4 linked regions of the Saccharomyces cerevisiae S288C genome follow. The gene in region 4 interacts genetically with the main gene of each other region. Each region holds a gene or a part of one and is shown on either strand. Other genes may lie near its edges.

Region 1 (7,199 bases), on a different chromosome or scaffold from region 4:
GTACTTTTAGATACAATTTCGCTTTCTGATAAAACAAATCCGAATGTCTCGAGGGTTCCTAGACAGTTTTTGGATAATTTTGCAATGGGTTCACATCCGCTTCCTAGAATTCTTTTAACTCACGTTCCATTATGGAGGGATCCAGAACAGCAAACGTGCGGTCAGCTACGTGAATCCAAAGAACCTTTTCCTATTCAGAAAGGGCACCAGTACCAGACAGTTATAGAAAACGATATATCACAAGAAATTTTAACGAAAATTCAACCAGAAATATTATTTTCCGGGGATGATCATGACCATTGTCAGATATCACACTCATATCCGTTTCAGGGGAAAACTAAAAATGCTCAAGAAATTACAGTAAAGTCATGTGCAATGAACATGGGGATCAGTAGGCCTGCTATTCAATTGCTCTCCTTATATAATCCTTCAGATTTGACAATGGTAAATGCCGGCGGAGAGTATGCATCAAAAACTTACCAAACAGAGCTATGCTATATGCCAGATCCCTATAAGGCAATCAGAATGTACCTATGGGGATTATTATTCTCTGCTGCCTTTATCGCATACATGCATTTTTTCCCAAAATCTTTTAATAATCGCGTAGCAACCATAATGAACAGAGTATTTACACGACCTGATGGTAACACCTCAGATTTGCCATTACCTACAAGTATTTCCAAATCGAAATCCAAAAAATCATTGACACATAGTAAATACGCTGTGAATGATACGCGTTCGATCAAACAATTTCTAGTTAATGCAATTGTCCTTTTTGTTTCTGTGATGCCCATTTTTATTTATTTTTATACTGTAGTCTAGACAGAATTACTGCTATTCTCTTCCAGGATCAAAATGCTTTGAAGGGAAACGTCTGGCTATTTAATATATGCGAATACACCTTATATACAGACAATGAACAAGAGATATAAATTATACCGGGTGTGGTATTACTATGCTCACCAAACAGTTTGCATAACCTCTACTGGATTTGCATTATGTTTTGTGGTCCAAGCTAAAACTGCAGGACTGGGCGTAACACCAATTACTTCACTATACGGGGACAAAAAAGAACACCTAGGTAAGTTGTTGGTTCCTTTAGTTTTATATCAAATTTAGCAAGTCATGACGGCAAATTTCTTTGTAAGCTTTGTTTAAAAGATGGATACAAAAGGACGACTTTCCTTTCAATCTTTCGTTTTTGCTTTTTATTATTCCATAGCAATATAGTGATCATAGTAGTGTAATTTTTAGAGTTTAAAAAACACGAAAGTAGGATGAAGTACAAAAGATTAACGAAAATACTCCATTCTCTTAACAACTCATACGTATATGAAGATTAAATTAATATGGAAGATAAATTAGACAGATACTACACAAATGTGCTTTCAAATGCTGAAAAGGATAAACACACAACTGTCGATAGCGATGACAAAAGTAGTGGCGAGGAAAATTTAGATGAACTACTTAATGAATTGGATAGAGAATTAGACGAGGATCATGAATTTTTGAGTGCTTATCGGTCGGAGAGGCTACAACAAATATCAGATCATTTAAAACAGGTCAAGAAGAATGTTGAGGATGACGGATACGGTAGATTGCAGTGCATTGATAACGAGGCAGATGCTATCCAAATATGTACAAAGACTACTATGGTGGTCATACATTTTGAATTAGAAACATTCGGTAAGTGCCAGTATATGAATGAAAAACTGGAAAACTTGGCAAAGAGGTATCTAACCACGAGATTTATTAAAGTAAACGTCCAAACATGTCCATTTTTGGTTAATAAACTGAATATTAAAGTACTTCCGTTTGTAGTTGGATACAAGAATGGCCTAGAAAAAGTTCGCTACGTAGGATTTAGTAAACTGGGAAATGACCCTAATGGGTTTGATATTAGGAGGCTAGAGCAATCTTTAGCCCATTCAGGTGTTATAGAAGACACATTCGAAATAAGAAAGCATTCATCTGTGAATACGGAACGCTTCGCTTCTACAAATCATGATAGAAGTGAAAGTGATAGTGATTTAGATATATAACTAAATAACCATTACCTCCCTACTAAAAATGACTCGATGGTCTTTTAAGCCATACGCATGAGCGAAAATGGTTCCTCCTGTTCAAACTAAATCGGTTATTCGAGCGTACCGTTGAAAATTTAATAAAACGTTTTGGGGGATTTATAGAAAGTTAAATACGAAATATGCGTATAGTAATGTTTATACATGAAACTCAAAAATGCGACTGTGTTCCTTAAAATAATAAAAGTTGAGTACGAATAACGATGACTGAGAAAGGTAGTGTATATTGTATATAAAATTGGACCATCTTTGTAGTAAAGACAAAAAAACCAATAAATGCAGATAAACTTAGCAGAACTAACTCTAAATTTAACTTTCCTTGGATGATTTTTCATTGAGTTTTTGAGTAAGTTCTAGGATTTGTTGCTTCAAGTCATCATTCTCAACCAATAAATGTGCTCTGTGAATTTCACTATCCTTTAAAGAGTCCATAGATTTTTTCAATTGAATACAAGATCTCGCGTAACCTTCTTTAATAAAATTGAAATTGAGCAGCAATTTATGAGTATTAATTATTCTTGCCTTCATTTCCGAAATTTGACTTATTGTAAACTCATTTGTGAACTTAGCAGGCTTCGTTGCAGATACAATGTCTTGTCTTGCAGAATCTATTTTAGATGTTATATCAGTAATCATGGATTCTATTTTTAGGTGGGATTCATTAGCGTCGGATGAAGCTAACGAAGATGAAGGTGATAGGGATGCAGGGGATAACATGGGTTCATTTGTGGTTTTCAAAAGGGATTTTTTCTTCTTGATGGTGGGTTTATCTATCTTATAGTTCTTTTGTTCTTTATCAGGTTTATGTACGTTATTTTGGTTTGTACTTTTATCTAATGATGCCTTGCCAGTATAACCCTTTTTATGCCTATCGAGATCAATACCAACTAGGCTATCATTAGCACTTCTCTGCATTTCCAAAAGTGTGCTCGAATCGGTGTTGTGTTCATCGTTAAATAAAGATTCCAATGTTAGGTGTTTCTGAGAAGCGATGTCGGAATCAAAAATATCAGTGCAGTCTAAATTATCCATCATAACTTGTTCGAGATCCTTTCCCAAATCTAAACTCTGCCCATCAATCTTTACTGTATCATCAAAATGATTATTTGCCTGAGTGAGCAGCCGATGCAACGTATGTTCTATATTGGCATCATCTGTTAAATCTGTATTCGGATTGGACTGATTCGTGTTCATTATCTTCACGTTTTCCCTATCACAACCTTAGTGTAACTTGAACCAACAAAATTTAAGATGTCAAAACTTCAATCAAGTATTGAGCTCTTCAATAGGGCACTAGCCCTCTGAAATTTTTCATTGAAAATACCGTACCGCATGTTTTTTGGAAATTTTTCATCTCATCGCTAAAGTGGAAAAAAAAAATTCTAGAAACTGAAAAAAAAGAGAAAAAAAAATGACAGAAAATATTTGATTTATATCAAGATGACACGAGTTTGCAAAAAGAGAAAGACACGCTATAGAAACTATTTTGGCAAATTAATCTATTCACTTATTTTTGAGTTTCTGAGTGTAGTTATATGCAAAGAGGCTATAAATCCTTATTTTTTTGAGAAAAAATGCTTGAGAAAAAATGCTTGAGAAAAGATGTATTTTTTTTTATTCGTTAGCATTTTTCCAGATATCGTTGAACATTGCTAGAATACTATCAAACCCGACTTTCCCCTTCACCGCGTTATCACTAAAACGTTTAACGCCCCAGTTTTCTACTTTCTCACTAAAGGTTTTGGTCGGAACACCAGACAGAAACTTTGCATCCTGCTTGAAAAGAGTCACATTCGATGGATTTTTCGGATGAGGAACATAACGTACGGTTTCGTAACACTTCAAAATATGCGGGAAGGTCATATTGCAACTCCTCATAGTTAAAGATCTGTCCCTTCGATCAACGGTGGAGACCTCTCGCACGTATGCTAAATTAGTGTTCCCCACTAAAATGGACATCCAGTGAGGGGTGTTCTGACGTATGGTTATCAGCCGTTCTGTAAGAAGTACATCGCCATGTTCTTTGAGCTCTCGGCGGAGCACATCGACTGCAATAACGTGTGTGGAGATCTTGTTTGGATATTTCATCCAGTTCGCCGTGGTGACTTTCTCCCATGGGTAATCGAATTCATAAGATTTTTGAAATGATTTCATTATTAATATATAAGCTCGAGAGATATATGACTAATAGAAATATTTACTTGAACTTGTCGATTAGAGAAAAGAAAATGCGTTGCTTGGACCGCAGATCCCACTTATTGTTTTCTTGCCAAATGTAACAAGATCTATAGGTTTATGAACTTTCTTCGAAAATCTCATTACTTTTTTTGATAAATAAACGGGCCCCTTGCGGACAAAGCCCTGAAAATTGAAGATTTACGCAGTATCACGTAAACCCAAAAAAAAAAATACAATATCGGTTAAAGTGCTGTTTTAATTTAGAATATATGTTTTACTAATCTATTTATAATCAAGTATATGTGTAATTTGGCTTTTTCCCTTGCCTTGTGCTTAACCTAGTTTTTTTCAGGTGATTATTTTACCGGGCATTACCTCCTAATACCCATCCTCCCATGTTATCCATATCATCTTCGCCGTATAAATCCAGGGTGACGGCTTTTTTATAAACGGGTTTGGTGACTGTAGAATTCGAGTTTGAGTATTTCACTCCTTCAGTTGTTACATCTGTAAAGCCTGCACTATCATTGTCATCATAGAGATTTAGATTGAAATTATTGGAATTTATACCAGTATTATTGTCGTTATCATTATCATTATAGTTATCATTGTCTGGGTGATTCGGTACTATTGTGCTATTAGTCGAATCGTTATCGTCCTCGCGTTCTTTGGGGAGAGATCCAGACATGATTTGGTCTTCTTCCTCGAGATTTAGTAACCTATGACTGGAATTGTTACTATTTTTAATGCTATTCGCCATCAACGCATCTGTAGGCGTTCTGGACTTGAAGTTTAGTGCCAAACCATTCTTTTCCATGTTACCATTCATCAAGGTGCTAAAAAGGTTAACTGATGGTTGTCTTCTCAGTTCTTCAAATGACTTGTTGATCAAATTCTTCTCAAATAGCAAGTTACTGTTTGAATTATTTCTCATTAGTAATGGAGATGCCTGTTGTGTATGTTGTGGAATTGGTGAATTCAAGAATTTTTGCTTCTTACTTGTGTCATTTAATAATTTGGAAAATGCGTTTGATACTGTAGACATGTCATTCAACGAGGAGTTTGAACTACTTGCGCTTGTAGAGGGCGTAGATATTCGGGAAATAAATTCCGGAGGTATCAATCCATTACTAATAGAAGGAGCCAAGTTTCTGTTCATCAAAGATTTCCTTTTAATAAGCGTTGCAGACGATAGATTCTTTTTGTTGTTGATAGTGTCTGTCCCGTCAAAATCACCATCGTGCACGTAGACGTTAGTAAAATGGTTTGAAGAGGTCGATCTTTTAGGTGATGAAGCCCCTGCAGAATCGGGTTGTTGGCTGTTTGGAAATTTCTGGTTGAACGGCTTTTGCAGAGCAGGGTCCATTAAACTCAAGGACCTAAACCTACCCCTTGTTTCCTTCGAATTTTTTGCCATAGAATCTATTCCGGAGGATAACACGTCTGTGCTCGAACCAGAGCGGGACAAAATGCTTGGAGCGTAAAAGCTCAAACCTTCATCGTCACTCTCATCGTCATCGTCATCATCGTCATCATCGTCTTCATCATCATCATAGTTGTCTTCATTTCCACCTTCTTCATCATCGTAATTAAAGCCATATTCATCTGCGTATGAGGTTCTATCCTGCTCTTGTTCCCCTCGTTCTTTTGTATAATCGTCATAATTATTATTGTTGTACAGGACAATTTCCTCATTCTTAGCACGGTCTTGCACTTCGTTGATTTGGTTGTTTAACTCGTCATATACTAGTTCGTCGTTTGATGGTGTCTTTCCGTAGGGGAAGGGAGAAGGCGATCTGGACATATTAGAACTAGAATAGGATTGTGAACGGGAATGTGGATGCAGATGCGATTGTAAATGCAGTGCAGTTCCCGAAGGCTGCTTGCGTAGGTTGGATTCCTGACCAATAAGATTGTTGATTGACGTTGATGGGATAGTTGTGATGGATTCGTTCGTTTTGAACATATGTGCCCTGTTGGATTTTCTGTTGATAGACAACGACCTAATTCTGACGGACTTGTCTTTATTGGAGGTTAAAACCGAGTTTTGAAAATTCAACAACGACGAAGAGTTTCTTTTCAAACTTGTGTTGCTCTGGTCGTCGCCCTTATCTTCGTTAACAGCATCTGAATATTCATGTAGCGCTTTTATTGATTCCTGGGAGATAAGGCTGGTGAGAGGGTGGTCTGACAACAAAGTCAGCAGTGCTTTTACCCCCGTGCTATTCGTGACAATAACTATGGAATCCAAGACAGTCTGGTCTTGCATGCTACCATTGCTCTGGTTTGAGCCGGTGAATTTCTCGTTCAACTTGGTGTAGTACTCTTTGAACGGGAGTGACTTGGAGTTCTGGATTGTCTTAGTGAAAGAACCAATATTCTGCCAATTAATGATTTTTAAATTAAGCAGTTCTGCGTTCAGGAAAGTAGAAAACCACTTGAGAGAGGTGGGAGAAACGTTGATCTGGAAACATAGGTTTAGTTTCTTTTGAACATACAAGTCTTTGAAAGAATTAAACAATTTTTCAACCAAAAATCTTATGGTCTCCACGTAACGTAAAGACCCCGAAGACGACACCAGTACATTCAGATCAAACTTGTTTTCCGGTGTGCTGCGAGAGCTGATCAGACTTTTCAACTCCTCCCAAAACTTATCGTTATCTTCCGCAGTAGATGTGTTGGAAAAACTTTGCGCGATCGAATTTCTAAGCCGATGCAGCTTAAACCGTTTATTCAGTCTGGAAAGCTTGTTATGAGTCATCTCATCGTTGTAGTAGTCGATCGTAGGGATATCTATGTAAAGTAGGATGTTAAGCTTCTTTAGCGAAGGGTACCGGTCCGCCAAAGACGCTTGTACCACTGTCTGCTGCATGTTGGAGTAAGTGATCAGAAACAGCGAGTCCTGTGACTTCACACTAACTTTTGGTGAAGTGGACT
Region 2 (6,125 bases), on a different chromosome or scaffold from region 4:
TTGGACAAAGTTATATTGTATGACATTATGTCCAACTTAGATTATATCTACATGGATCATCCGGATAGATTGAGATCGCATTCTTCCTATGATAGACCAATGATCATTAAAAACTGATACGTCTTACGACTATGTTTAGCTTTGATGTTTTCTCCATTTTTTTTATGTTTTTTTATGATAATCTCTCAGCCGCCATCACTTCCACACAGGCAATGCTCTACAGTTTTATTTTGCTTTTAGGTAATGCCGCATATATATATATATATAAGTTAGAACACAAACTATAGAGCAGCGAGGACCCGTAGCTAAAAGGAAGACAAATTGAAAAATCTTTCACAAATGAGTATAGAATATATACTTTACACAAAACACATAAGTAAACAATAACGTGATAAGAATAGGAGAGCAAATATGGGAAAGGGCTTATTTCCCCCATATTTGGCTGCTTTTTAAGAAAAAGGGAAAAAGAATGATCATAAAGTAAATGAAGTTTCAGTGGTTTAATCACTTGATAGAATACCCCAGTATTTTTCAACACCGTATTGCCCATCATCTTTCCATAGATCATTGAAGGCGGTAAATAAGTAAGCTGAAGAGCCGCAGGAGCTTTTGATAGAAGAAATGGCGGCTTCTTGGTTTGCTTTAGATGGGACAGCTTCGCCGTAAGTATCACCCTTAGATGGCCAACCAGTTTCGGTAATAACGACGTCCTTTTTCCCACCACAAGCAGTGTAAACCCTTTCGATTTGTTCTAGTACCCATGGTCCTGCATCTTGGGCCGCAGTATTTTCATCGAAGTATGCATGGGCGTTGACAGCCATATAGTCAGAATAATTACACAGGTCAGGGTTATTTATAACAGCAATGAAGGTATCAACGGAAACGACTGAGCCTGTATAACCAGCAGAGGTTAAAGCTGACTTGGCCGTGGAAACGTATTCACCGACTTGCGTCGTAGTGGCAGAACCGCCATTGACCAGTTCGTTACCGACAGAAACAGTGGTAATATCATCCCAGGAGCCATAAGACTCAACTGCAGATTTAATAGTATCAACGGCGTCTTGAATTTTGTCAACGTAATATATGCCTAAGAATAATTTCTGGCTTGAAGTTTTAGCTTGCAAGACATTCTCAACCTGACTACAGTCAACGCCATATAATCTGATGTTGTCAAAACCAGTCAACTGTTCTAAATCTGAGGCGACTTGAGCAGTAGATTTACAGGACCCATCATCATTGTAAGGACTGTAAGTAATACCCTTAGCACCGGAGGCTGAGATACTAGATGAAGCGGAGGATGAAGCTGAAGATGAAGTTGAGGATGAGGATGAGGGTGAGGATGAAGTCGAAGAACCAACCGTAGATGCTGCCTCGGAAGATTGAAGAGTGCTGGTTTGTTGTTGAGAAGTGACGACATTAGCGGAAGTTGTTGGTTCTAAAGTGGATGTAGTTGCTTGAGAAGCAACTGCAGTACTGCTGGTAGTAGCTACAACAGCATTCTCGTTCACTGGAACAATAGTTTCGCCGCTGTTACCGGAAACGACAACAGTAACCTGCGCATGGACTGTGGCAGTAACAACGTCACGCTTTTCATGTTTATGGCGAACAGCAGGAGCTCCTAGAGCTCCGGTTAATAATGCAGATACAGTTAGGAAATTTGAAAAACGCATAATGGAATGAAGACTTTTTTTGCGTTAATACTATCTTTTGACAATTTGAAAAAAAGAACAGTAATAGTAAAGGAGAGACGTGACAGTTGGATGTTCAGCTCAATATTGCAAAAGTATAGTATTTAACTCTTTTATTTGGGCCTATATAATAGATGAATTTAAAATGGGAAAAATATGATGCACGCTTCAAAGATACACTGTAAGACAAACTTCACGCAGACATCTTTCCCTCCATTATAAATACTACAGTTTTGAAACAAACGTGGAAAAGAAGGCTTATGGATACGGCTCTCGATGGAGAAGTTACTGTACACATGAAAACACGAATAACTTTCAAACGCGTGCGACGTTTGTTACCATATTCAAACGTTTCAACGCGAATTTTTTGTCCGCTGTTTCGCGCAATTAAAAGTCTTGGCATTTTTCTCTTCAGGTTTTACTTCGTCCGAAATCTTCGAGGACTTTTCCGAAAAAGGTAAATTACTGCAAACGGTCTTTCGCGAAATCTAGACCGAAGATCTCTGGGGATATGTAAGGAACAAATATTTTTGTCATTGAGGGCTTAGATAAAAAGAAAATCTAGATGTCTTGCCTGAGAAAAAGAAAGAGGGAGGCATTCTTTCTTAATTATTACCGTGCCTGGTATCAGCATAAGTGAAGGCCGAGACAGCTTTCGTATATGGCTGTTGCACGTCTCTGAACTAATCATTCTCGCCCATCAAGATCGGACCATCTTGCCTAGTGCGGCAATGATGGTTAAATTATGCGGGTAAGAGTTTTACATGGTCAGCGGCTATTTGGCGAGAACCTTCAAAAGTAATTATGCCTTCTAGGATTTGCCACTATACAACTTAATCATTAAGGGCTGTGGAACTGCATATTGGGAAAAGAAAAACATACTGAGAAGGAAAGTTAAGGAGTTGAATATGGATTTTATGAGTCCCAAGTTTTCGCTAACTGACGTTGAGTATCCTGCTTGGTGCCAAGACGATGAAGTCCCAATAACAATGCAGGAAATTAGAGAAATTTTTGTGGAGCTCATGGATAAGTTTGGCTTCCAGAAATCTTCTATGGAAAATATGTATCAACATTTAATGGGACAGCTGGACTCCAGGGCAAGTCGTACAGGTGCTCAAAATGCTTTAGTATCGCTACATGTTTCATATATTGGAGGCGAACACGCAAATTATAGAAAATGGTATTTTGCCGCTCAGCTCGATTTAGATGAAGAGATCGGGTTTCAAAACATGCGACTACATGGAAAGGCACGCCAAAGAAACGTAAAAATGGCGAAGAAAAGAGGCGTATCGATAAAGGAACAAATTAAGCAATGGAATGAGAAGGAGCAAGAGTTCATCAATAACCATCCAAAGATCACACTGACTCAAGAACAATTGGAAGATCAGACAAACTTGAAAAGTGCAGACTACAAATGGAAATTGAAAATGAAAAAATTGACGCCCGAAAATATGATAAGACAGCTGGCCCTTTATTTGCTTTGCTGGGGTGAAGCCAATCAAGTCAGATTCGCCCCAGAATGCCTTTGCTTTATTTTCAAATGTGCACTTGATTATGATATTAGTACGTCAAGTAGCGAAAAAACGGTGAAATCACCTGAGTATTCATACTTAAATGACGTTATTACTCCCTTATACGAATTCCTAAGGGGCCAAGTATACAAAAAAGACGCAAAGGGGAACTGGAAACGAAGAGAAAAAGACCACAAGAATATTATTGGTTACGACGACATCAATCAATTATTTTGGTACCCGGAAGGATTTGAACGTATTATTTTAAACAATGGAGAACGATTAGTTGACAAGCCATTGGAGGAGAGATATCTTTACTTTAAAGACGTTGCATGGTCTAAAGTATTTTATAAGACATATAGAGAAACCAGAAGTTGGAAGCATTGTTTTACCAATTTCAATAGATTCTGGATTATCCATTTTGCACCGTTTTGGTTCTTCACCACATTTAATTCCCCCACTTTGTACACCAAGAATTATATACAGTTATTGAATAACCAGCCTACACCCCAAGTTAGACTATCAGTGATTGCCTTTGGAGGCACAATTGCATGTTTAGTTCAAATTTTAGCCACCGTGTTCGAGTGGGGATTTGTACCTCGAGAATGGCCAGGCGCTCAGCATTTATCGAGTAGAATGATTGGCTTACTTTTTTGTCTTGCAATCAATTTGGGACCTTCCGTGTATGTTCTGGGGTTTTTCGAATGGGATGTTCATTCAAAATCTGCGTATATCGTGTCCATCGTCCAACTAATCATTGCATTTTTAACCACTTTTTTTTTTGCTGTCAGACCTTTGGGCGGCTTATTTCGTCCATATTTGAATAAAGACAAAAAACATCGGAGGTACATCTCATCGCAAACCTTTACCGCTTCATTTCCTAAGCTGACAGGACGCAGCAAATGGTTTTCTTATGGGTTATGGGTATTTGTGTATTTGGCGAAATATATTGAGTCCTATTTTTTTTTGACCTTGTCCCTCAGGGACCCCATCAGGGTCCTCTCTATTATGGATTTGTCCAGATGTCAAGGTGAATATTTGTTGGGTCCTATTCTATGTAAATGGCAAGCCAAAATTACATTAGTTCTCATGCTGCTTTCTGACTTGGGCCTGTTTTTTCTCGACACTTACCTTTGGTACATTATTTGCAACTGTATTTTTTCCATTGTACTGTCATTTTCTCTTGGTACTTCAATTCTCACGCCATGGAAGAATGTATACTCTCGATTGCCAAAAAGGATATATTCCAAAATCCTTGCTACTTCAGAGATGGATGTAAAATTTAAAGCAAAAATACTGATATCGCAGGTTTGGAATGCCATTGTTATATCAATGTATAGGGAACATCTTCTCTCCATTGAACATTTACAAAGACTCTTGTTTCAGCAAGTTGACTCCTTAATGGGAGACACAAGAACCCTGAAATCGCCTACATTTTTCGTTGCACAAGATGATTCAACGTTCAAGTCAATGGAATTTTTTCCATCAAATTCAGAGGCAAAAAGAAGGATATCCTTTTTTGCCCAATCCCTGGCGACCCCCATTTCAGAACCTGTTCCAGTGGATTGTATGCCAACTTTTACCGTTTTGGTACCCCATTATTCAGAAAAGATTCTGTTGGGCTTGAAGGAAATTATCAGGGAAGAATCTCCTAAAAGTAAAATCACGGTGCTTGAGTATTTGAAGCATCTACACCCTACAGAATGGGAATGTTTTGTTAAGGATACCAAACTACTAAGCATGGAAAAGAGCTTTTTGAAAGAGGCAGAGAGCAGTCATGATGAAGATAGATTGGAAATTCCGGATGCTCTGTACGATCCAAGGTCTAGCCCGCTTTCTGACCATACTGAGTCCCGGAAGTTGCCCACAGAAGACGATCTTATTAAGGAGAAAATTAATGATTTGCCATTTTCTTACTTTGGCTTCAACTCATCAGAACCATCGTACACCCTGAGAACAAGAATCTGGGCATCATTGCGGACGCAGACTTTGTACCGAACCCTTTCAGGGTTTATGAACTATTCCAAAGCTATTAAGCTACTGTATCGAATTGAAAACCCCTCTTTAGTTAGCTTGTATCGTGGCAATAATGAAGCATTGGAGAATGACTTAGAAAATATGGCTAGCAGGAAATTTAGGATGGTTGTTGCTATGCAGAGATATGCAAAATTTAATAAGGATGAAGTGGAGGCAACAGAACTACTTTTAAGAGCCTATCCAAATATGTTTATATCTTACCTTTTGGAAGAATTAGAGCAAAATGAATCTGAGAAAACGTACTATTCGTGCCTGACTAATGGCTATGCTGAGTTTGACGAAGAAAGTGGATTAAGGAAGCCAATATTCAAAATTCGCCTGTCGGGCAATCCAATACTTGGCGATGGAAAATCGGATAATCAGAACCATTCTATTATATTTTATCGTGGTGAGTATATTCAGGTGATTGATGCAAACCAAGATAATTATTTGGAGGAATGCCTAAAGATACGGTCTGTTTTAAGTGAGTTCGAAGAGCTTGAGCTTAATCCCACAATCCCATACATTCCTGGCATTGAATATGAAGAAGAACCACCGCCCATCGCTATTGTTGGTTCAAGAGAGTATATTTTTTCAGAAAATATTGGAGTGTTAGGTGATATTGCTGCAGGTAAAGAACAGACTTTTGGAACCTTATTTGCTAGAACGTTGGCTGAAATTGGTGGTAAATTGCACTATGGGCATCCCGATTTTCTCAATGGCATTTTTATGACCACTCGTGGTGGCCTGTCTAAGGCACAAAGAGGATTGCATTTAAACGAGGATATATATGCTGGAATGAACGCAATCTGCCGTGGTGGAAAGATAAAACATAGTGATTACTACCAATGTGGTAAGGGTAGAGATTTGGGATTTGGGTCCATCCTGAATTTCACTACTAAAATAGGTG
Region 3 (8,501 bases), on a different chromosome or scaffold from region 4:
TCAATCACGGCAGTCTCCTAATCTCCAGAAAGTTTCTCCTAACCATGAAAATGCGGTTGAATCAAATGCACAAGAGAGCGTGCCGACATTTGAGGAGGAACAGTATGAGACTAAAACAGGATTGAAACGGAAACGAATAGTCTGCACAAGACCCTTCGAATTTATCAAGTCACCACACTCTGTGATGGAGGTTTGGAAGGAGTATACAGAAGGTGTTAACGGGCAGCCTTCTATAAGGAAAATGGAAGCTCTTTATCAAACGGCATGGAGGCGAGATCCAGCAGTAAATAAAAGATATTCGAGAAGAAAGGTTCTTTGGAAAGCCATTCAAACTGGCCTTAATCGTGGGTATTCATTAAACTATGTTGTTGAAATATTAGAAAACTCAAGATATGTTAATGATAAACAGAAGGTTAAACAACCTATTGGTTGGTTATGCCACAGTTCTCATATTCCAGAGACTTTGAAGTGACATTTGCTTCTTGTGTATTCACCTTTATCCCAAATTAGCCCTTGTAACACTTATGCTTTTCTTAATAAATTAATAATTGGACTTTCCTTTAAAGTGGGTTGTATCTGTAACAATAATCTCTAATAATATCCTATAAAACTCAGAAGTCAGCCAACAACAATTGTATACGTATACATATCTATATAATATGCCTTGTACTTTACGCTCTTGAATTTAGAATAGCTGAACACCTAACTGAATTTAAGTAAAGGATCCCAAGCGTGAGATATTTAGGTTTACTCAGTTTTCTTATCTTGCCTTTTGATTATCACGTTGAGTGTCGAAGAAACCTGTATTCATCCTCGGCTTCTTGTATATGATTCTAAAATAATGTGTGAAAAAAAAAATAAAATAAAAAAAAGAGGAAAATAATATAGAATAACTATTAAGTTTCATTAAAAAAAAACCATTTGAATATACGACCAAAAACGTTACGCTTTCATAAAGTGTGAATAAGCAAGGGAACTATACTTGAAATATGGGGGCAAAGAGTGTAACAGCCTCTTCTTCAAAGAAGATTAAAAACCGGCATAATGGGAAAGTGAAAAAGAGCAAGAAAATCAAGAAAGTACGGAAACCACAGAAGTCTATATCCTTGAACGACGAAAACGAAGTAGAGATTTTACCTAGTCGTAATGAGCAAGAGACAAATAAATTACCTAAAGATCACGTCACGGCGGATGGAATTCTTGTATTAGAACATAAATCTGATGATGATGAAGGATTCGATGTCTACGATGGACATTTCGATAACCCTACTGATATTCCCTCGACTACTGAAGAAAGTAAAACGCCTTCATTAGCAGTGCACGGGGATGAGAAGGATCTTGCTAACAATGATGATTTTATCTCTCTTTCTGCTAGTTCTGAGGATGAGCAAGCCGAACAGGAAGAGGAGAGGGAGAAACAAGAATTAGAAATTAAAAAAGAAAAGCAAAAGGAAATCCTTAATACTGATTATCCATGGATTTTAAATCATGATCACTCCAAACAGAAAGAAATCTCGGACTGGCTAACCTTTGAAATCAAGGATTTTGTTGCCTATATCTCACCAAGTCGTGAAGAAATTGAAATTCGTAATCAAACCATAAGTACAATAAGAGAGGCTGTCAAACAGTTATGGCCAGATGCTGATTTGCACGTGTTTGGATCATATTCTACCGATTTGTATTTGCCTGGTTCCGATATTGATTGCGTGGTAACGAGCGAACTTGGTGGTAAGGAAAGTAGGAATAACTTGTATTCGTTAGCAAGCCATTTAAAAAAAAAAAATTTGGCAACAGAGGTTGAAGTTGTCGCCAAAGCTCGCGTTCCAATCATCAAGTTTGTTGAGCCACATTCAGGGATCCACATAGATGTTTCATTTGAGAGAACAAATGGTATTGAAGCAGCAAAGCTTATTAGAGAGTGGTTGGACGATACCCCCGGCCTGAGAGAATTAGTCCTTATCGTAAAACAATTCCTACACGCAAGAAGACTAAATAATGTGCATACCGGTGGTCTTGGTGGGTTTAGTATTATATGTCTTGTCTTTTCCTTTTTGCATATGCACCCACGTATAATAACTAACGAAATAGATCCAAAGGACAACTTGGGTGTGCTCCTGATAGAGTTTTTTGAACTTTATGGGAAAAATTTTGGTTATGATGATGTTGCACTGGGATCATCGGATGGATATCCAGTATACTTTCCAAAATCGACATGGAGTGCTATTCAGCCTATTAAAAATCCATTTTCATTGGCCATTCAAGATCCAGGTGATGAATCAAATAACATCAGTCGAGGGTCCTTTAACATTCGAGATATTAAAAAGGCATTTGCTGGTGCTTTTGATCTGTTGACGAATAGATGTTTTGAATTACATTCAGCAACTTTTAAGGATCGATTGGGGAAAAGTATATTGGGAAACGTGATCAAATATCGTGGAAAGGCAAGAGATTTCAAGGATGAAAGAGGTCTAGTACTGAATAAGGCTATTATTGAAAATGAAAACTATCACAAGAAACGTAGCAGAATAATTCATGATGAAGATTTTGCCGAAGATACAGTTACCTCCACAGCCACCGCTACCACAACAGATGATGATTATGAAATAACGAACCCACCTGCTAAGAAGGCTAAAATAGAAGAAAAACCTGAAAGTGAACCGGCCAAGAGAAATAGTGGAGAGACATATATCACTGTCTCTAGCGAAGATGATGATGAAGATGGATATAATCCTTATACCCTTTAATATGTGCCTTTTTGTTTAAATGATGCACTGAACTGTACATCACTGTGTACCTGGATAGAATGTGTGTTTAAATATGCGTATTATGTATTAATAATTGAATTTAATTTTACTTCTGTTTTTCTTTTTATCGCTGTGAACTTTTTTGTCAAGAAGTCGCTCTTTGTTGGCTTTCTCTTTTATTTTATTCCATTTCTTTGAGGTCTCAGCAGTGGTATCATTAGGAAATTGGCACGTTTGCCGAATTTCTTGAACCAACTTCTCGAAGCATTTTAATTTGTTGGTTTCCCTTGACCTAGTTTCATCAGATTGAATTACTATAGAATCGCTGCCCTTAGCGTAGTATCGAAACCTGCCGCTACTTAAGATGTTTCTCACTTCCTGAGGAATCCAAGCACAGTTTGATAAACCAGAAAGTGTCAAAGTACATTTACTATTTACCTTATTAACGTTTTGGCCTCCTGGCCCGCTGGCTCTATCGTAACGTAAAATAAATTGATTTAAGGGCAAGCCCGTTACGTTAAGTGCTCCTACCCAGTTTCTTGCCTGGACGAAGTCAGATTTCTTTCCGATCTTTTTATTACTAATCAATCTGACTGCCTCTTCAACGAACTGTTGTTTCTTGCAGTGCAACATTGGTTGAAGTACAAACAGAGGGGAGCGCCCAGTAAGTTTAAACTTTCCCATCAATGTTGTCATATGATATTTCTTGGCGTGTTTCCCTTCAATTTACTGAAAGGCAAACAGTAATGTTAAGGATTCTGTTGTTTTTTTTTACCGTATACGCTTGATTTCGTCAGCCCCTTGGAAGACACGAAATGTTGACTATCCGCTTCCAGATCTGGTAAAAGATTGATTTGCGATAATTCCTGTTGTTGTCATCACGGGTGTTATGGTTTGTTGTAAACTAAAAAAAGAATGAAGGAACAGGACGCAGATTCATCTAATCAAGTTCTGTGGGGAGGTCCCCAGTGGTAAGTGAATAAATATTCGCTTTATGAAGACCTACACCTGGTTTTCTCAATGGATCAGACGATAAGTACAATTTTTGTAGAGCTATACTCGAGGACAATCAGACAAAACGAAAGAATATCTTTCGATGAAGGGCGTAAAAAAGGAAGGATGGATATCTTATAAAGTTGATGGATTGTTTTCGTTCTTATGGCAAAAGAGATACTTGGTACTGAATGATTCGTATTTAGCATTTTACAAAAGTGATAAGTGCAATGAGGAACCAGTCTTATCTGTGCCTTTGACTAGTATAACAAATGTTAGCAGAATACAATTGAAACAAAATTGTTTTGAGATTCTTCGGGCAACAGATCAAAAAGAGAACATATCCCCCATAAACTCCTACTTTTATGAATCAAATTCCAAAAGATCGATATTCATTTCCACAAGAACCGAACGGGATTTGCATGGCTGGCTTGATGCCATTTTTGCCAAATGTCCTCTCCTTAGTGGTGTTTCATCACCAACAAATTTTACACACAAAGTACACGTTGGGTTCGACCCAAAAGTGGGAAACTTTGTTGGAGTACCTGATAGTTGGGCTAAACTACTACAAACCTCAGAAATTACGTACGACGATTGGAACAGAAACTCAAAAGCTGTTATTAAAGCACTGCAATTTTATGAAGATTACAATGGACTGGACACAATGCAATTCAATGATCACCTCAACACAAGCTTAGACTTGAAACCTTTAAAAAGTCCGACAAGGTATATTATAAACAAGAGGACTAATTCCATCAAGAGATCAGTAAGTAGGACGCTCCGAAAAGGCAAAACAGATTCCATTTTACCCGTCTATCAATCAGAACTTAAACCATTCCCAAGGCCTAGTGATGATGATTATAAGTTTACCAACATAGAGGACAATAAAGTACGCGAAGAAGGCAGGGTGCATGTTAGTAAAGAAAGCACGGCAGATTCCCAGACAAAGCAGTTAGGAAAGAAGGAACAGAAAGTCATTCAAAGCCATCTGCGAAGGCATGATAATAATTCAACATTTAGACCTCATCGACTAGCACCATCTGCACCTGCTACAAAAAATCATGATAGTAAAACTAAATGGCATAAGGAGGATCTCCTTGAACTTAAGAATAATGATGATTCGAATGAAATAATAATGAAGATGAAAACTGTTGCAATTGATGTAAACCCAAGACCGTATTTCCAACTGGTAGAAAAGGCTGGTCAAGGAGCAAGTGGTGCAGTATACCTGTCAAAGCGAATAAAATTACCTCAAGAAAATGACCCGAGATTCTTGAAATCACATTGCCACCGAGTCGTAGGCGAAAGAGTGGCCATTAAGCAGATACGTTTATCTGAACAACCAAAGAAACAATTGATTATGAATGAACTCCTAGTGATGAATGATTCGCGCCAAGAAAATATCGTTAATTTCCTTGAAGCCTATATTATTGATGACGAAGAGTTATGGGTGATAATGGAGTACATGGAAGGTGGCTGCTTAACAGATATATTGGATGCTGTAGCAAGGAGCAATACCGGTGAGCACTCATCGCCGTTAAACGAAAACCAAATGGCATATATAGTAAAAGAGACGTGCCAAGGTTTGAAGTTTTTGCATAACAAGAAAATTATCCATCGAGATATCAAATCTGATAATATCCTTCTGAATTCCCAAGGGTTAGTGAAAATTACAGACTTCGGTTTTTGTGTGGAATTAACAGAAAAAAGAAGCAAGCGTGCCACAATGGTAGGTACTCCATATTGGATGGCACCTGAAATAGTGAATCAAAAGGGATATGATGAAAAAGTCGACGTTTGGTCTCTAGGGATAATGCTTATTGAGATGATAGAAGGTGAACCGCCTTACCTAAATGAGGATCCTTTGAAGGCGCTGTATCTGATAGCTAACAACGGTTCACCAAAATTGCGTCATCCAGAGTCAGTGTCCAAGCAAACCAAACAATTCTTAGATGCCTGTTTGCAAGTGAATGTCGAATCAAGAGCATCCGTGAGAAAACTACTAACGTTTGAATTTTTGTCAATGGCATGCAGCCCTGAGCAGCTCAAAGTATCCTTAAAGTGGCATTGAAATTTAGCTTTTTTTTATTTAGGAGAAACAATATATATATATATGTATATACGTATGTATGATTCATATTTTAATCGCATTTTTATTTCATCTAAAACAATTACTCTTTTTGATTATTTATAGAAAAAAAACAACAATGATACGTTTGCTTCGCGTTATGTCAATAGAAAATGTAAAAGGAAAAAGAATGTGTTGCTATTCGTTAGGCGGATTTACGGATGGAAGACATATCTATGAACTGAGCTTACAAACGCTTTTAGCGGGGACAGTTAATCATTTTACGGATGATTTTATAAGAATAAACTATTTTTGAAAAGTTAGGATAGTATTTTGTACATTTGGCACCGAAGTAATTCAAAATCGAGGAAGACTCGCACACTTTTACAATCACAGAAGGCAAAACCCGGCATGACAGGATGATAATGTCATCAACTATGTCGACAGAAGCCGCCTTGGTACCGAACGAAAGTGTTTTTGACACAGTTTCGTCATTCAACGAAGACGATGCCAATTATAGCGTTCTTGATTTATACGATGACGACGATGAAGGGGATGATAGTTCTACAGTAGAACGAAAAGAAATATTGACAACACGTGAGCTTGAAAAAGCAAAGGCGTTTACCAGCTTAATCATGGCAGATCCTGAGAATTTTGATAGATATGGATTTAGCAAGAAAGGATATTTCATTAGTCAGGAAGAATACGACAAATGGTGGACAGAATATAATAGATACACCGAAAGAAGAAAAAAAAAGTGGGAGAACTTTCTTCTTAAGAATAAGATTGAGCTCCACAATGATAATCCTCTAGTATATCCTGCAAGGACAGATGAATTGTCAAAATTTGTTAGAAAAGGTATACCAGCAGAATGGAGAGGGAATGCCTGGTGGTATTTTGCTGGTGGACAACGACAATTAGACGCAAATGTTGGCGTTTATGATAGACTGAAAAGTGACTGTCGCGAGGGTGCCGTATCTGGTAAAGATATGGAAGCTATAGAACGGGATCTTTATCGAACGTTTCCCGATAATATACATTTCCATAAGGAGTCCTTCCAAAATGGAGAGCCGGCGATCATCCGATCATTGCGTCGAGTATTAATGGCCTTTTCTGTTTATGACAAGACTATTGGATACTGCCAATCGATGAATTTTCTCGTTGGATTGCTATTATTGTTCATGGAAGAAGAGAAAGCATTTTGGATGCTGGTTATTATTACCGGTAAGTATTTACCTGGCGTGTATGAATCAGACTTAGAGGGTGCGAACGTGGATCAAGGGGTGTTGGTGTTATGTATCAAGGAATATTTACCCGAGATATGGTCACACATTGAGTCATCGTATATGAATGGCAATGGCAGCACTGACCAGATATCAGGGCCAGCATCGGGGGAAGAATATCTCTGCAGGCTGCCTACGCTGACGCTGTGTACGGCAAGTTGGTTTATGAGCTGTTTTGTGGGCGTGGTGCCCATCGAAACGACCCTGAGAATATGGGACTGTTTATTCTATGAAGAGTCTCATTTTTTATTTAAAGTGGCTTTGGGGATACTGAAATTGAGCGAAAGCGAGTTTTTGGAGAGTAAAAGCCAGAAACTGTTTAGACAGTACTCTTCGTACACCTTCGGTGGTAGTAATGACTCTGATTCAACTTTCAAAAGATTAAAGAACAAGATTAAGACGCAGGAAGAGGCAGATATGGAGATTTTGCAAGTGATTCAAAATTTCCCAAAAAGATTGCTCAATCCGAATGATATCTTTGAGAAAGTCCTGATGAAGAAGAAGGTTGCGTTGAATGGTATTACCCAGGAAAAGATTGATCGCGGTAGAGAGTATGTGGCGATGGCGAGAAATAGACAAAGGGCGAGTAGCCGCCCAAAGGAAAGAAGAAAATAGTAAGCGCAACCGTGATAAAAAGCGCAACTGTGTAAAATAACAAGTATGTACGTACTAACTATACTAATCTTATTTGGCCAGAGACCAGCCTTTTTGTAGACGCTCCATGACTTGCCTAACCGCAGCCTGATCGTTCTCGAAATTGTTCTTCAGAAGAGCCTCGATATCATCCCAGGGCACAGTGAGTTCCTGTGGAGGAGCAGGAGCAGGGGAGTTAGTGGATTTCTCGGCTTCGGGTTCCTTAGATATAGTCGGATTCGGCTTAATCATGACTGTGATTGTGGAATTGGCAGGCGTGACCTTCAAATCCGATAAGAACAGGTTATCGTGGAGGACTTTGCCCTTCAAAAGCAGTTTTATCTCGCTTATGTGGGAGGCCTTTTCCTCGCTGATCAAGTGCTGTTTTATTTGTAAGATAGTATCTGATGGGCTGAAATCATGCTCGATGGAGAACTTGGGAGCTTGAATTTTCTTTAAGGTTAAGTGGACGGCGGCGTTGTCTTGACCTTGCTGATCTTGGTGCAGTTTTAACTTCTTGGCACGATTCTGCTTATATTTATACTTCAAAGTAGGCAACGGGACACCCAAATTGGTAACATCCTTCAGAGGTTTAGTATAGCTTTTTGGTAGCTTCGGTTCAGTTAAAGTGGCTAAGGTCAAGAATTTACTAACGAACTCGTGTTCTGGACCGCTGGCGGATGTGCTCATGATTAATTTTGTATAAAGTTATTATTCTTCGCTAGTTTATCTCTGTATCGGTCTGTTCTAACCCTTTTCTCCAACTATGTTCTCCTGTGC
Region 4 (11,638 bases):
AAGAGACGTGTATCTGCTGGACCTAAGAAATCATGGATCCTCACCACACAGTTCAGTCCATAACTACGAAGTCATGTCGGAAGACGTGAAACACTTTATCACAAAGCACGAATTAAACACCAATGGAGGCCCTATTATAATAGGACACTCAATGGGTGGTAAAGTTGCCATGATGCTGGTCCTGAAAAACCCGCAACTTTGTTCGATGTTAGTCTGTATAGAGAACGCTCCGGTGAGTTTGCGCCCTAACGCTGAGTTTGTCGAATACATCAAAGCGCTGATGGAAATCGTCAACGACAAGGGCAAAACTATCCGCACGCTGAAACAGGCTGATGAACACCTTGCAGAGAGGATCGGCGGCAATGAGCTAGTAAGGCGGTTTCTCCTAACGGCGCTGAAAAAGGTCAAGATGGACAATTCATCGTCTGTGTCGTCATATACATTCGAAGAACGAATTCCCCTCGCAACACTGAAAGATGCCATTGTCAAAGGTGAAATTGCCGCGTGGCCCCTAGATCCTGCTCGTGAACGATGGACGCGGCCTGCGCTATTCATCAGGGCTACTCAATCGCATTATGTGGTAGACGAGTATCTTCCGATCATCGGCGCGTTCTTTCCACGCTTTGAAACACGTGACATCGATGCGGGTCACTGGGTAAATGCGGAGAAGCCTGGGGAATGTGCCGAAAGCATCGTCGATTTTGTGGAGCGGCACGAGGATTAAAGGCAAGCGCCCCGGAGCAAGGTGCCAGTAGCACCAGTCGGTGGCTGTGCGCTTGCCGTAGCACATGACATACGGACTATTGTGTGAGTGGTGATGGGGTGTAGGCAGTGCCACACCAGTTTAAAGGCCTAGTAACGGCAAATCGCCAAAAGAGATGATGCTGATGCATACGATAAGATCGTCAGTTTCACGTTCGCGGTTCGAACATGGAATTGTGGCTAAAGAAATTTGGGCGGTATGATGCAAATGAGGTGTACGTATGTATATATAGCAAAGAGTAGAATAAAATGAGATAAAGCCTCGTTCGTTCTCTCCATTTCTTCCCTGTTTCTCCTTTATTTTCTCTACTGCTTATTTCGAGTTCACCAGAGAACAAGAGAGCAGGAACGCAAAGAGTGTGTGACACGAAATTCAAGATACAAAAATAAAAGCTTACGTTGTGTATTTCAACTGGTGTGCTAAGAATAGAGTTTCATAAAGTACTGCATTTATTCATATATTATTTTTGTTATTTGTATATATACTTCACACTTAGAGTTCTACTAAAAGTCTACCCAGCACGCATCCTTCGTTTATTTTTACATCTCTCTTTTGCTTTTCCTTTTTTTTTTTGGTGCTTGCTAGATACTACTGAAGATCAAAGGTTACAAAGAACGCCGCATATATTTTCTGCAGGCATATTAAAGAAGTTACAAAAGGATTAATCGAAGCGCTGTTTGGATACACTCCTGTAAAGAGAAGAAAAGGAAAAAAATAAAAAGTGGACAATAAATAATTATTAAACTGTCATAGTTATGTCCTACAACGATCCAAACTTGAATGGACAGTATTACAGTAACGGTGATGGGACTGGTGACGGTAATTACCCTACGTACCAAGTGACACAGGATCAAAGTGCGTACGATGAGTACGGTCAGCCAATCTATACACAAAACCAACTGGATGATGGTTATTATGATCCAAACGAACAATACGTTGACGGTACACAATTTCCTCAGGGACAAGATCCTTCACAAGACCAAGGTCCTTATAATAACGATGCTAGTTACTATAACCAACCCCCCAATATGATGAACCCGTCTTCTCAAGATGGAGAGAACTTCTCAGATTTTAGCAGCTATGGTCCCCCATCCGGCACTTATCCTAACGATCAATATACTCCTTCTCAAATGAGTTATCCTGATCAAGATGGTTCTTCAGGGGCCTCAACCCCCTATGGAAATGGTGTCGTTAATGGTAATGGCCAGTACTACGACCCTAATGCTATTGAAATGGCTTTACCAAATGATCCATATCCCGCATGGACCGCAGATCCCCAGTCTCCCCTGCCCATCGAACAAATCGAAGATATCTTCATAGATTTAACAAATAAATTCGGTTTTCAGAGAGATTCCATGAGAAATATGTTTGACCATTTTATGACCCTTTTGGACTCTAGATCTTCTAGGATGTCTCCAGAACAGGCCCTTTTATCATTACATGCAGACTACATAGGTGGAGATACGGCCAACTACAAAAAATGGTACTTTGCCGCTCAACTTGATATGGATGATGAAATTGGTTTCAGGAATATGAAGTTGGGTAAGCTATCAAGAAAGGCAAGAAAGGCTAAGAAGAAAAATAAAAAAGCCATGCAAGAGGCTAGTCCTGAAGACACTGAGGAGACTTTAAATCAAATTGAGGGTGATAACTCATTAGAAGCTGCGGATTTTAGATGGAAGTCAAAGATGAATCAACTTTCTCCATTTGAAATGGTTCGTCAAATTGCCTTGTTTTTATTATGTTGGGGCGAGGCAAATCAAGTCAGATTTACCCCGGAGTGTCTTTGTTTCATTTATAAATGCGCCTCTGATTACTTAGATTCTGCACAATGTCAACAACGTCCTGATCCCTTGCCTGAAGGTGATTTTTTGAATAGAGTTATTACTCCTCTTTATCGTTTTATTAGGAGCCAGGTTTACGAAATCGTGGATGGTCGATACGTGAAGAGTGAAAAAGATCATAACAAAGTTATTGGGTATGATGATGTCAATCAATTATTCTGGTATCCAGAAGGTATAGCAAAAATTGTCATGGAAGATGGAACCAGGTTGATTGATTTGCCAGCAGAGGAGCGTTATTTGAAATTGGGAGAAATTCCCTGGGATGATGTCTTCTTTAAAACTTACAAAGAAACACGTTCCTGGTTACATTTAGTTACCAACTTCAATCGTATTTGGATCATGCACATCTCAGTATATTGGATGTATTGTGCTTACAATGCTCCAACTTTTTATACTCACAACTATCAACAATTGGTCGACAATCAGCCTTTGGCAGCTTATAAATGGGCCACTGCAGCATTAGGTGGTACTGTGGCAAGTTTGATTCAAGTTGCCGCTACTTTGTGCGAGTGGTCATTCGTTCCTAGAAAATGGGCGGGTGCTCAACATTTGTCCCGTAGATTCTGGTTCTTGTGTGTCATTATGGGTATTAATTTGGGGCCTGTGATATTTGTTTTCGCTTATGATAAGGACACAGTATATTCTACTGCCGCTCATGTCGTTGGAGCAGTTATGTTTTTTGTTGCTGTGGCAACACTTGTTTTCTTTTCCGTAATGCCATTGGGTGGATTATTTACATCGTATATGAAAAAGTCCACAAGAAGTTATGTTGCCTCACAGACCTTCACCGCATCTTTTGCTCCATTGCATGGTTTAGACAGGTGGATGTCTTATTTGGTTTGGGTAACCGTTTTTGCTGCTAAATATGCAGAGTCATATTTTTTTCTAATACTGTCACTAAGAGATCCAATTAGGATTTTATCTACTACATCAATGAGATGTACTGGTGAATACTGGTGGGGTAATAAGATTTGTAAGGTCCAGCCAAAGATTGTTTTAGGTTTAATGATTGCGACTGACTTCATTTTGTTCTTTTTGGATACCTACTTGTGGTATATCGTTGTTAACACTGTTTTCTCGGTCGGAAAATCGTTCTATTTGGGTATTTCTATCTTAACTCCATGGAGAAATATTTTCACTAGATTGCCAAAAAGAATTTATTCTAAGATCTTGGCTACTACTGATATGGAAATAAAATATAAACCGAAAGTACTAATTTCTCAGATTTGGAATGCTATCATTATCTCCATGTACAGAGAACATTTATTAGCCATAGACCATGTACAAAAATTGTTATATCATCAGGTTCCGTCCGAAATTGAAGGTAAGAGGACTTTGAGAGCACCAACTTTCTTTGTTTCCCAAGATGACAATAATTTTGAGACTGAATTTTTCCCTAGAGATTCAGAAGCTGAGCGCCGTATTTCATTTTTTGCCCAATCTCTATCCACTCCAATTCCAGAACCACTACCAGTTGACAACATGCCAACATTTACTGTATTAACTCCCCATTACGCCGAGAGGATTCTATTATCATTGAGAGAAATTATTCGTGAAGATGATCAATTTTCAAGAGTTACTCTTTTGGAATACCTGAAGCAATTACACCCGGTAGAATGGGACTGTTTTGTTAAGGATACGAAAATTCTTGCTGAAGAAACGGCCGCATATGAAAACAATGAAGATGAACCTGAAAAGGAAGACGCTCTGAAATCTCAAATTGATGATTTACCTTTCTATTGTATTGGTTTCAAATCTGCTGCACCAGAATACACCTTACGTACGAGAATCTGGGCCTCTTTAAGGTCGCAAACTTTGTATCGCACAATCTCGGGGTTTATGAATTATTCGAGGGCCATAAAATTACTTTATCGTGTGGAAAATCCAGAAATCGTTCAAATGTTCGGTGGTAATGCTGATGGATTAGAAAGAGAACTGGAAAAAATGGCAAGGCGAAAATTCAAATTCTTGGTTTCGATGCAAAGATTGGCCAAGTTTAAACCACATGAACTAGAAAATGCTGAGTTCCTGTTGAGAGCTTATCCGGACTTGCAAATTGCCTACCTGGATGAAGAACCTCCCTTAAACGAAGGCGAAGAGCCAAGAATTTACTCGGCCTTAATTGATGGTCATTGTGAGATTTTAGAGAATGGTCGTAGACGTCCCAAATTTAGAGTTCAACTATCCGGTAATCCAATTCTTGGTGATGGTAAATCAGATAATCAAAATCATGCTTTGATTTTTTACAGAGGTGAGTATATTCAATTGATTGATGCTAATCAAGACAATTACTTGGAAGAGTGTTTGAAAATCAGGTCTGTCTTAGCAGAATTTGAAGAATTGGGAATTGAGCAAATTCATCCTTATACTCCTGGTTTAAAATATGAGGACCAATCCACAAATCATCCTGTTGCAATTGTCGGCGCTAGAGAATATATTTTCTCAGAAAACTCTGGTGTTCTTGGTGATGTAGCGGCTGGTAAAGAACAAACTTTTGGTACATTATTTGCCCGTACTTTGGCACAGATTGGTGGTAAATTGCATTATGGTCATCCAGATTTTATTAATGCGACATTCATGACTACTAGGGGTGGTGTTTCCAAAGCACAAAAGGGTCTACATTTAAATGAAGATATTTATGCCGGTATGAATGCCGTACTTCGGGGTGGTCGTATCAAGCATTGCGAATATTATCAGTGTGGTAAAGGTAGAGATTTAGGTTTTGGTACAATTTTGAATTTCACTACTAAGATCGGTGCTGGTATGGGTGAACAAATGTTATCTCGTGAATACTATTATTTGGGTACGCAATTACCTATTGACCGTTTTTTAACATTTTATTATGCGCATCCAGGGTTTCACTTGAATAACTTATTTATTCAATTGTCTCTGCAGATGTTCATGTTAACTTTAGTGAACTTGCATGCTTTGGCTCATGAATCCATTCTGTGTGTTTACGATAGGGATAAGCCAATTACTGATGTTTTGTATCCAATTGGTTGTTACAACTTTCATCCTGCGATTGATTGGGTGAGACGTTATACACTCTCTATTTTCATCGTCTTTTGGATTGCTTTTGTCCCTATTGTCGTTCAGGAATTAATCGAGCGTGGTCTGTGGAAGGCGACACAAAGATTTTTCCGTCACATTTTATCTCTATCTCCAATGTTTGAAGTCTTTGCTGGCCAAATCTATTCTTCAGCACTGTTAAGTGATATCGCTGTGGGTGGTGCTCGTTATATTTCAACAGGTCGTGGCTTTGCTACATCTCGTATACCTTTCTCTATTCTTTATTCAAGATTTGCGGGTTCAGCCATTTATATGGGATCAAGATCAATGTTGATGTTATTATTTGGTACCGTGGCACATTGGCAAGCTCCACTATTATGGTTTTGGGCATCATTATCAGCCTTAATCTTTGCACCATTCATTTTCAATCCACATCAATTTGCTTGGGAAGATTTTTTCCTAGACTACAGAGATTATATCAGATGGCTGTCAAGAGGTAATAATAAGTACCACAGGAACTCATGGATTGGTTATGTAAGAATGTCGAGGTCTCGTGTTACTGGTTTCAAGCGCAAACTGGTGGGTGATGAGTCTGAAAAATCTGCAGGCGATGCAAGCAGGGCTCATAGAACCAATTTAATTATGGCTGAAATTATACCGTGTGCGATTTACGCAGCAGGTTGTTTTATTGCCTTCACGTTTATTAATGCACAAACTGGTGTCAAGACTACTGATGAAGATAGAGTAAATTCCACCTTACGTATCATCATTTGCACCTTGGCGCCTATTGTTATCGATATTGGTGTTTTATTCTTCTGTATGGGTTTGTCATGCTGCTCTGGCCCTTTGTTGGGCATGTGCTGCAAGAAAACTGGTTCTGTTATGGCAGGGATCGCTCACGGTATCGCTGTTGTTGTCCATATTGTCTTTTTCATTGTCATGTGGGTTTTAGAGGGTTTTAGTTTTGTTAGGATGTTGATTGGCGTTGTTACATGTATACAATGTCAAAGGTTGATTTTTCACTGTATGACTGTACTGTTGCTGACCCGTGAGTTCAAGAATGATCACGCTAATACTGCCTTTTGGACAGGCAAATGGTACAGCACCGGTTTAGGATATATGGCATGGACTCAACCGACAAGGGAATTGACTGCAAAAGTCATTGAGCTTTCCGAGTTTGCAGCGGATTTTGTTTTGGGGCATGTAATTTTGATCTTCCAACTACCAGTCATTTGTATTCCAAAGATAGATAAGTTTCACTCCATCATGTTATTTTGGTTAAAACCATCCCGTCAAATCCGTCCTCCTATTTACTCTTTGAAACAAGCACGCCTACGTAAACGTATGGTTAGGAGGTATTGCAGCTTGTACTTTTTGGTACTGATCATATTCGCGGGATGCATCGTTGGCCCTGCCGTTGCTTCAGCACATGTTCCAAAAGACCTTGGATCTGGGTTGACGGGTACTTTCCATAACTTGGTTCAACCAAGGAACGTATCTAACAATGATACAGGGTCCCAGATGTCTACTTATAAGAGTCATTATTACACTCATACGCCATCCTTAAAGACCTGGTCTACGATCAAATGATTTTTTTAGTTTACAATCTATTTTTGTTTCTAAGCAAGTTTATCACGCAAATACATAAGTATATTTTTACTTTCTATTCTTCCTAGTTTATATTTATTTCATTGTAACTTTCTTAGAAGCTCGGTCCTCTCGCTATATAGTAGGATCTGCAACATATTTGGATGTGGGTGGGCGTTCTCCTTCTTTTTTAGATGTAAGGTCCAACACGTATAACAGGTGATACACATAGAAAGACACGTGGAAATAACAGTCATTTACGAATATTTAAAACCTGAGCAACTCCGTCAAATTTGATCTTAATCTTTTCTGGGGCCCCATCTAATTCCCAGAAAGCCCTTCGAATTAGAAACCGGATGCAATTTTGGCTTGATCAAATAGTAACGCTTCTCTCCGGGAACATCAACGTACATGTTGATAAAGTCAGGTTGATAATTCTGTTTGGATTCTTTAGCCTCTAAGTGAACCAACGCTATTTTCTTTTTGGATTCAACGTGGAATCTCATATAGTGATGTGTCCTACCTTCTTTATCTAATTTTTTGGTAGATACTATAGGCCTGTTTCTTGTCCATTTGTCATTCGTTATAAGCTCACCGTACGCTTTCAATCTTTCTTTTCCCGTAATGCCATCGTCGCACTGTAACAAACTTCTTATATCTTTGTTTTTCTCTACCATAGAAACTGCTCTGTTGAAAAGCTGTGTATCACCTGAAGGCGAAAATAGTTCTGAAAGAATTAGGTAAATAACAATAGCAGATATACCAACAGCTCCTATCACAAGTATGCCAGAAAAGGTGAACGTAGAAGCGGATTTTACTTGAGGCCATAATGGCTTAGGTTTATTCCTAGTCTTGTCATCCTTCTTTCCTGATGTTGCGCCGGTGCCATTACTATATAATCTTGTTCTAAGCAGTGACGTATGAGTTATTACCGATGAGTTCACGAAAGTATTATATCGTGGAAACAAAGGCTTTCTATGTCCTAAACGGAGTAAAGACCTAGGCAAACTTGAGCTCATTGTTTAAACTTGGAGTCAGGAAAATAATATACGAATGATTTTACCAACCTGATATCTAAAATTAAATTTAGAACTATAACCTGCTGTCACTGGCGGAAAAATACGCCCTCAGGTTTGACCTAGTAGAGCTGAACATCTTTTCACTGCTTTCTGTATCCTTTATTTATTGGAGCTTCCGAAACTTCCCAAGAAAAGTGAAGAAAAAACCAGGAAAATCAAAAGACATGACGCATATAATGTACACCTTTTTTTTTTCGCGGCCAAAAATTTAACCTACTCATCTAGATCAGTGGTTGGTAGAGCAGTATTCCGTCATTTTTCATGTCCAGGTTCGAAGCTGACCTGGTATTATCCGGTTTTTTTTCTTGTTGACCAATAGGAAAAAAAAAAATTAAAATAAAGTCACAGAAATTCAATGAATATTATAAATTTTTCTTGTTTGTTTCCCTAGTTGTTATTTTTATAAAAAAAATTCTTGTAGACAATAAAATAAGAAATGCCCATTTTGTAACTTAGCGAAAGATGCCCAGTACATCCCTTTTACACCCGTGCATTAAAGGTGTTTGGGTTTAATAGGAGCTTTATCATATCTCTTTGATTTTTTTTCTGCTGTCCTCGGCTTGAGGGACTCACAGAGATCTGGAAATTTTCAGATTGTCAGTGCTTAGGATGGGTTGTCAGTAGACGGTGGCCGCCGTGGATGGGAAATCTCATACGTTTACACACATAGTGTTTGGAAATTAATAGTAGCAATAGCTATCTGGCTACTGTTTTAAAGTATTAGCCCGTTCTCAGTGCTTCTTTTTTAAGGAATAACAACGGCAAGACCAAAGATATATCAAATATGGCTAAGCAATCTCTAGGTATGTTTGGAGGATACGAATAACGATAGAAAACATGAGTGAATTTCCGTCCACGAAAAAATGTTAACATAAAATGCAAGAGAACAATTAATCGAATAATGTTAAATTATTGTAAAACAATGTGTATGATGAGGAGGAATGTACCTAAGCCAAAAAAAAAAAAAAAAAAAAAAAAAAAAAAAGAAACAGCTTTTGCATATTCAATCCAGGCATAGGGCGACTATTTAGCACTCAACGATTTTTAAGCTTGTGTATTGCTGACATAAATTCCGGCTTTAGAATCCAATATTGAAAAACGTGAGTACGCAGAGGAGATAGAAGAAAAGTAGGAAGTTACCGTTTATATTGATTTGTGAAATGCATACTCCGTTGGATGTGGGGCAACATAGATTTAAGTGTGGATGAAAATTATGTGCTCATTGTGAAAAAAAAGTTTTGCTTTTACTAACAAATTTTTTTATTATTTGTTTTCAATAGACGTTTCCTCTGACAGAAGAAAGGCCAGAAAGGCTTATTTCACTGCTCCATCCTCTGAACGTCGTGTTTTGTTATCTGCTCCATTATCCAAGGAATTGAGAGCTCAATATGGTATCAAGGCTTTGCCAATCAGAAGAGACGATGAAGTCTTGGTTGTTCGTGGTTCCAAGAAGGGTCAAGAAGGTAAGATTTCATCTGTTTACAGATTGAAGTTTGCTGTTCAAGTTGACAAGGTCACCAAGGAAAAGGTCAACGGTGCTTCCGTTCCAATTAACTTGCACCCATCCAAGCTTGTTATCACTAAGTTACACTTGGACAAGGACAGAAAGGCTTTGATCCAAAGAAAGGGTGGTAAATTGGAATAAACTAGCTCGACTTTAACATAGATCATACAAAAAATACAATAAATAAATCCTGTGTTTCTTTTATGTATATTTTTTATCAATTTCAATTTAGTTTAGTTTAGTTTCTTTAAAAATAAAATTGTAATTTCTCACATTCTGCCTTCGGGTCTCAAGGGCTGGTTGGTAGACGAATGCGCTTGTTTCTAGCTGAGCGGCAGATGCATGAATTCAATGCAAGAAAATGAGAAAACTTCCAATATTAAAATGTGATTGTTAATTATTAGTATATTTATGACAATATATATATGTACATAGGGTGATTATGAAGATGAGTAAGATGCGAATGGATATGAGGATATGAATCTTTTTAGAGACAATGAAGATGCAAAGAAGTAGTTAAGCACATTGACCTCAGGGTTGCTATATGCTACTTTTAGTCCGTTGGATTTCTGAAGCAGTATTGGCCACAAAAATTTCTTCATTATTTCTACGATTAGAGTTTCTTCTGGATTTTTCTCGTCCCTGAGACTTACTCCTTTTCAAGTCATTTTCAGCAGCAGCTTTGATTAAATCATATCTTGTGATTTTACTTGGAGAGCTATTGTGATGGGAACTTTGTCTGCATGTGACTGTATTAGTCAGAGATGTTATGGGCTTAACCATAAGGGAAGAAACTATGGCACGCATGAATGAATTACTGCTTTTACTGCTGTCATCTGTTGAGTTTGCTGAGTCTTCCGTTCTTGTAGTCTTGGCTGGTGTGAGTAACATTACGTATTGTTTCTGTAGAGAAGATAACTTATAACTTCCGTCTTGTCACTAGTTGTTTTAATTATATGTTTGTTACAAGTTTTTATGTATAGATATATGTTACAACTTTTAGAAGTATTGTGGACATAACAGAGAGAAGGGAATGTTGCTATATTTATATATTTTATATATTGCCCTCAAAACTGTATCTCATCTTTTTTTCTGCAATCCTTGCTTTCGTAATCTAAGTGTGGGTGACATGCTAAATCCGCGGCTTTCCTTAAGCTTTTTCACAAACCATCTATTATGTCCAGAAGCTCCGCTGATTATCCGTGGAAAAGGGTCTTATTCTGCCGTAGGAAACTTCTTCTCGAGAAAAAAGTGAGTTCACCCGCGGCGCTCTCGTAAAACCCGAGGGCCGATTCTTTCCCTCCGTGGAACAATCGGCCCCGCGGCGTCAGAGGGTATTATCTCCGCAAGTGATAGAACTCACATTTATTCTACGTTCTGCATGGTTTTGATTATCTTCTTTTGCACGATGTCACATACTTTTTCGATTACCGTCGCTTTACACAGTAACTGTTTAAAACGAGCGTTCTTAATTAATAACTGTAGGAGAGCAGGCTTTCGGCTTTCTTTATGAGAAATAAGGACTACTCCAGCTTGCCAAGTTTTATCCAGTTACACAAACGCTCAAGATCGCCTCGCTAAAATAGATGAAAAAATAAGAAAAATGAAATGTTCAACCTAATCCCTTTTGGATTTATCATTGAAAGATCGCTGATTTATTCTTTTCCAATACGCCTCGTAATTCTCTTTCAATGTCAAAGGCGCCAGATTGTAAGAATCTGTCATGTAAAATAATCTGACAATACGTAGTTTTAAAAACCAATTGATTAAACCAAGCTCTCTTATGATGCCAACTATAAAAAAATAAAGTGATCCAGTCAGTGCCCCCACGCTGAATCCCACGATTACTTGA

What was found.
Region 1: mutations in GSC2 (region 4) and ATC1 together harm fitness more than expected from each alone (negative genetic interaction), as found in Saccharomyces cerevisiae (2 studies listed by BioGRID).
Region 2: of GSC2 (region 4) and SCW10, changing one enhances a phenotype caused by changing the other (phenotypic enhancement), as found in Saccharomyces cerevisiae (one study listed by BioGRID).
Region 3: mutations in GSC2 (region 4) and SKM1 together harm fitness more than expected from each alone (negative genetic interaction), as found in Saccharomyces cerevisiae (2 studies listed by BioGRID).

What each region holds. Positions count from the first base shown.
Region 1 is NC_001136.10:828,236-835,434, forward strand, and holds ATC1 (Atc1p), read right to left. Parts: upstream 3,279-7,199; coding exon 2,394-3,278; downstream 1-2,393. Other genes in the region: putative lipid phosphatase CDC1, read left to right, coding at 1-822; YDR182W-A (uncharacterized protein), read left to right, coding at 916-1,119; PLP1 (Plp1p), read left to right, coding at 1,350-2,042; UPS3 (Ups3p), read right to left, coding at 3,699-4,238; SND1 (Snd1p), read right to left, coding at 4,624-7,199. UniProt on the Saccharomyces cerevisiae protein: Involved in cation homeostasis and in the regulation of the cation stress signaling cascades. Also involved in bipolar budding.
Region 2 is NC_001145.3:878,563-884,687, forward strand, and holds SCW10 (putative family 17 glucosidase), read right to left. Parts: upstream 1,671-6,125; coding exon 501-1,670; downstream 1-500. Other genes in the region: ubiquitin-specific protease UBP15, read left to right, coding at 1-117; FKS3 (putative 1,3-beta-D-glucan synthase), read left to right, coding at 2,597-6,125. UniProt on the Saccharomyces cerevisiae protein: Glucanases possibly play a role in cell expansion during growth, in cell-cell fusion during mating, and in spore release during sporulation.
Region 3 is NC_001147.6:100,486-108,986, forward strand, and holds SKM1 (putative serine/threonine protein kinase SKM1), read left to right. Parts: upstream 1-3,840; coding exon 3,841-5,808; downstream 5,809-8,501. Other genes in the region: MSN1 (Msn1p), read left to right, coding at 1-472; non-canonical poly(A) polymerase PAP2, read left to right, coding at 990-2,744; PTH4 (Pth4p), read right to left, coding at 2,832-3,440; Rab GTPase-activating protein MSB4, read left to right, coding at 6,225-7,703; MDY2 (Mdy2p), read right to left, coding at 7,773-8,411. UniProt on the Saccharomyces cerevisiae protein: May be involved in cellular signaling or cytoskeletal functions. May play a role in morphogenetic control.
Region 4 is NC_001139.9:546,746-558,383, forward strand, and holds GSC2 (1,3-beta-glucan synthase GSC2), read left to right. Parts: upstream 1-1,518; coding exon 1,519-7,206; downstream 7,207-11,638. Other genes in the region: IMO32 (Imo32p), read left to right, coding at 1-724; NAG1 (Nag1p), read right to left, coding at 64-555; TIM21 (Tim21p), read right to left, coding at 7,503-8,222; 60S ribosomal protein uL24 RPL26B, read left to right, coding at 9,067-9,085, 9,563-9,927; YGR035C (uncharacterized protein), read right to left, coding at 10,327-10,677; YGR035W-A (uncharacterized protein), read left to right, coding at 10,820-11,041; CAX4 (dolichyldiphosphatase), read right to left, coding at 11,404-11,638. UniProt on the Saccharomyces cerevisiae protein: Alternate catalytic subunit of the 1,3-beta-glucan synthase (GS) complex. Synthesizes 1,3-beta-glucan, a major structural component of the yeast cell wall. Required for spore wall assembly.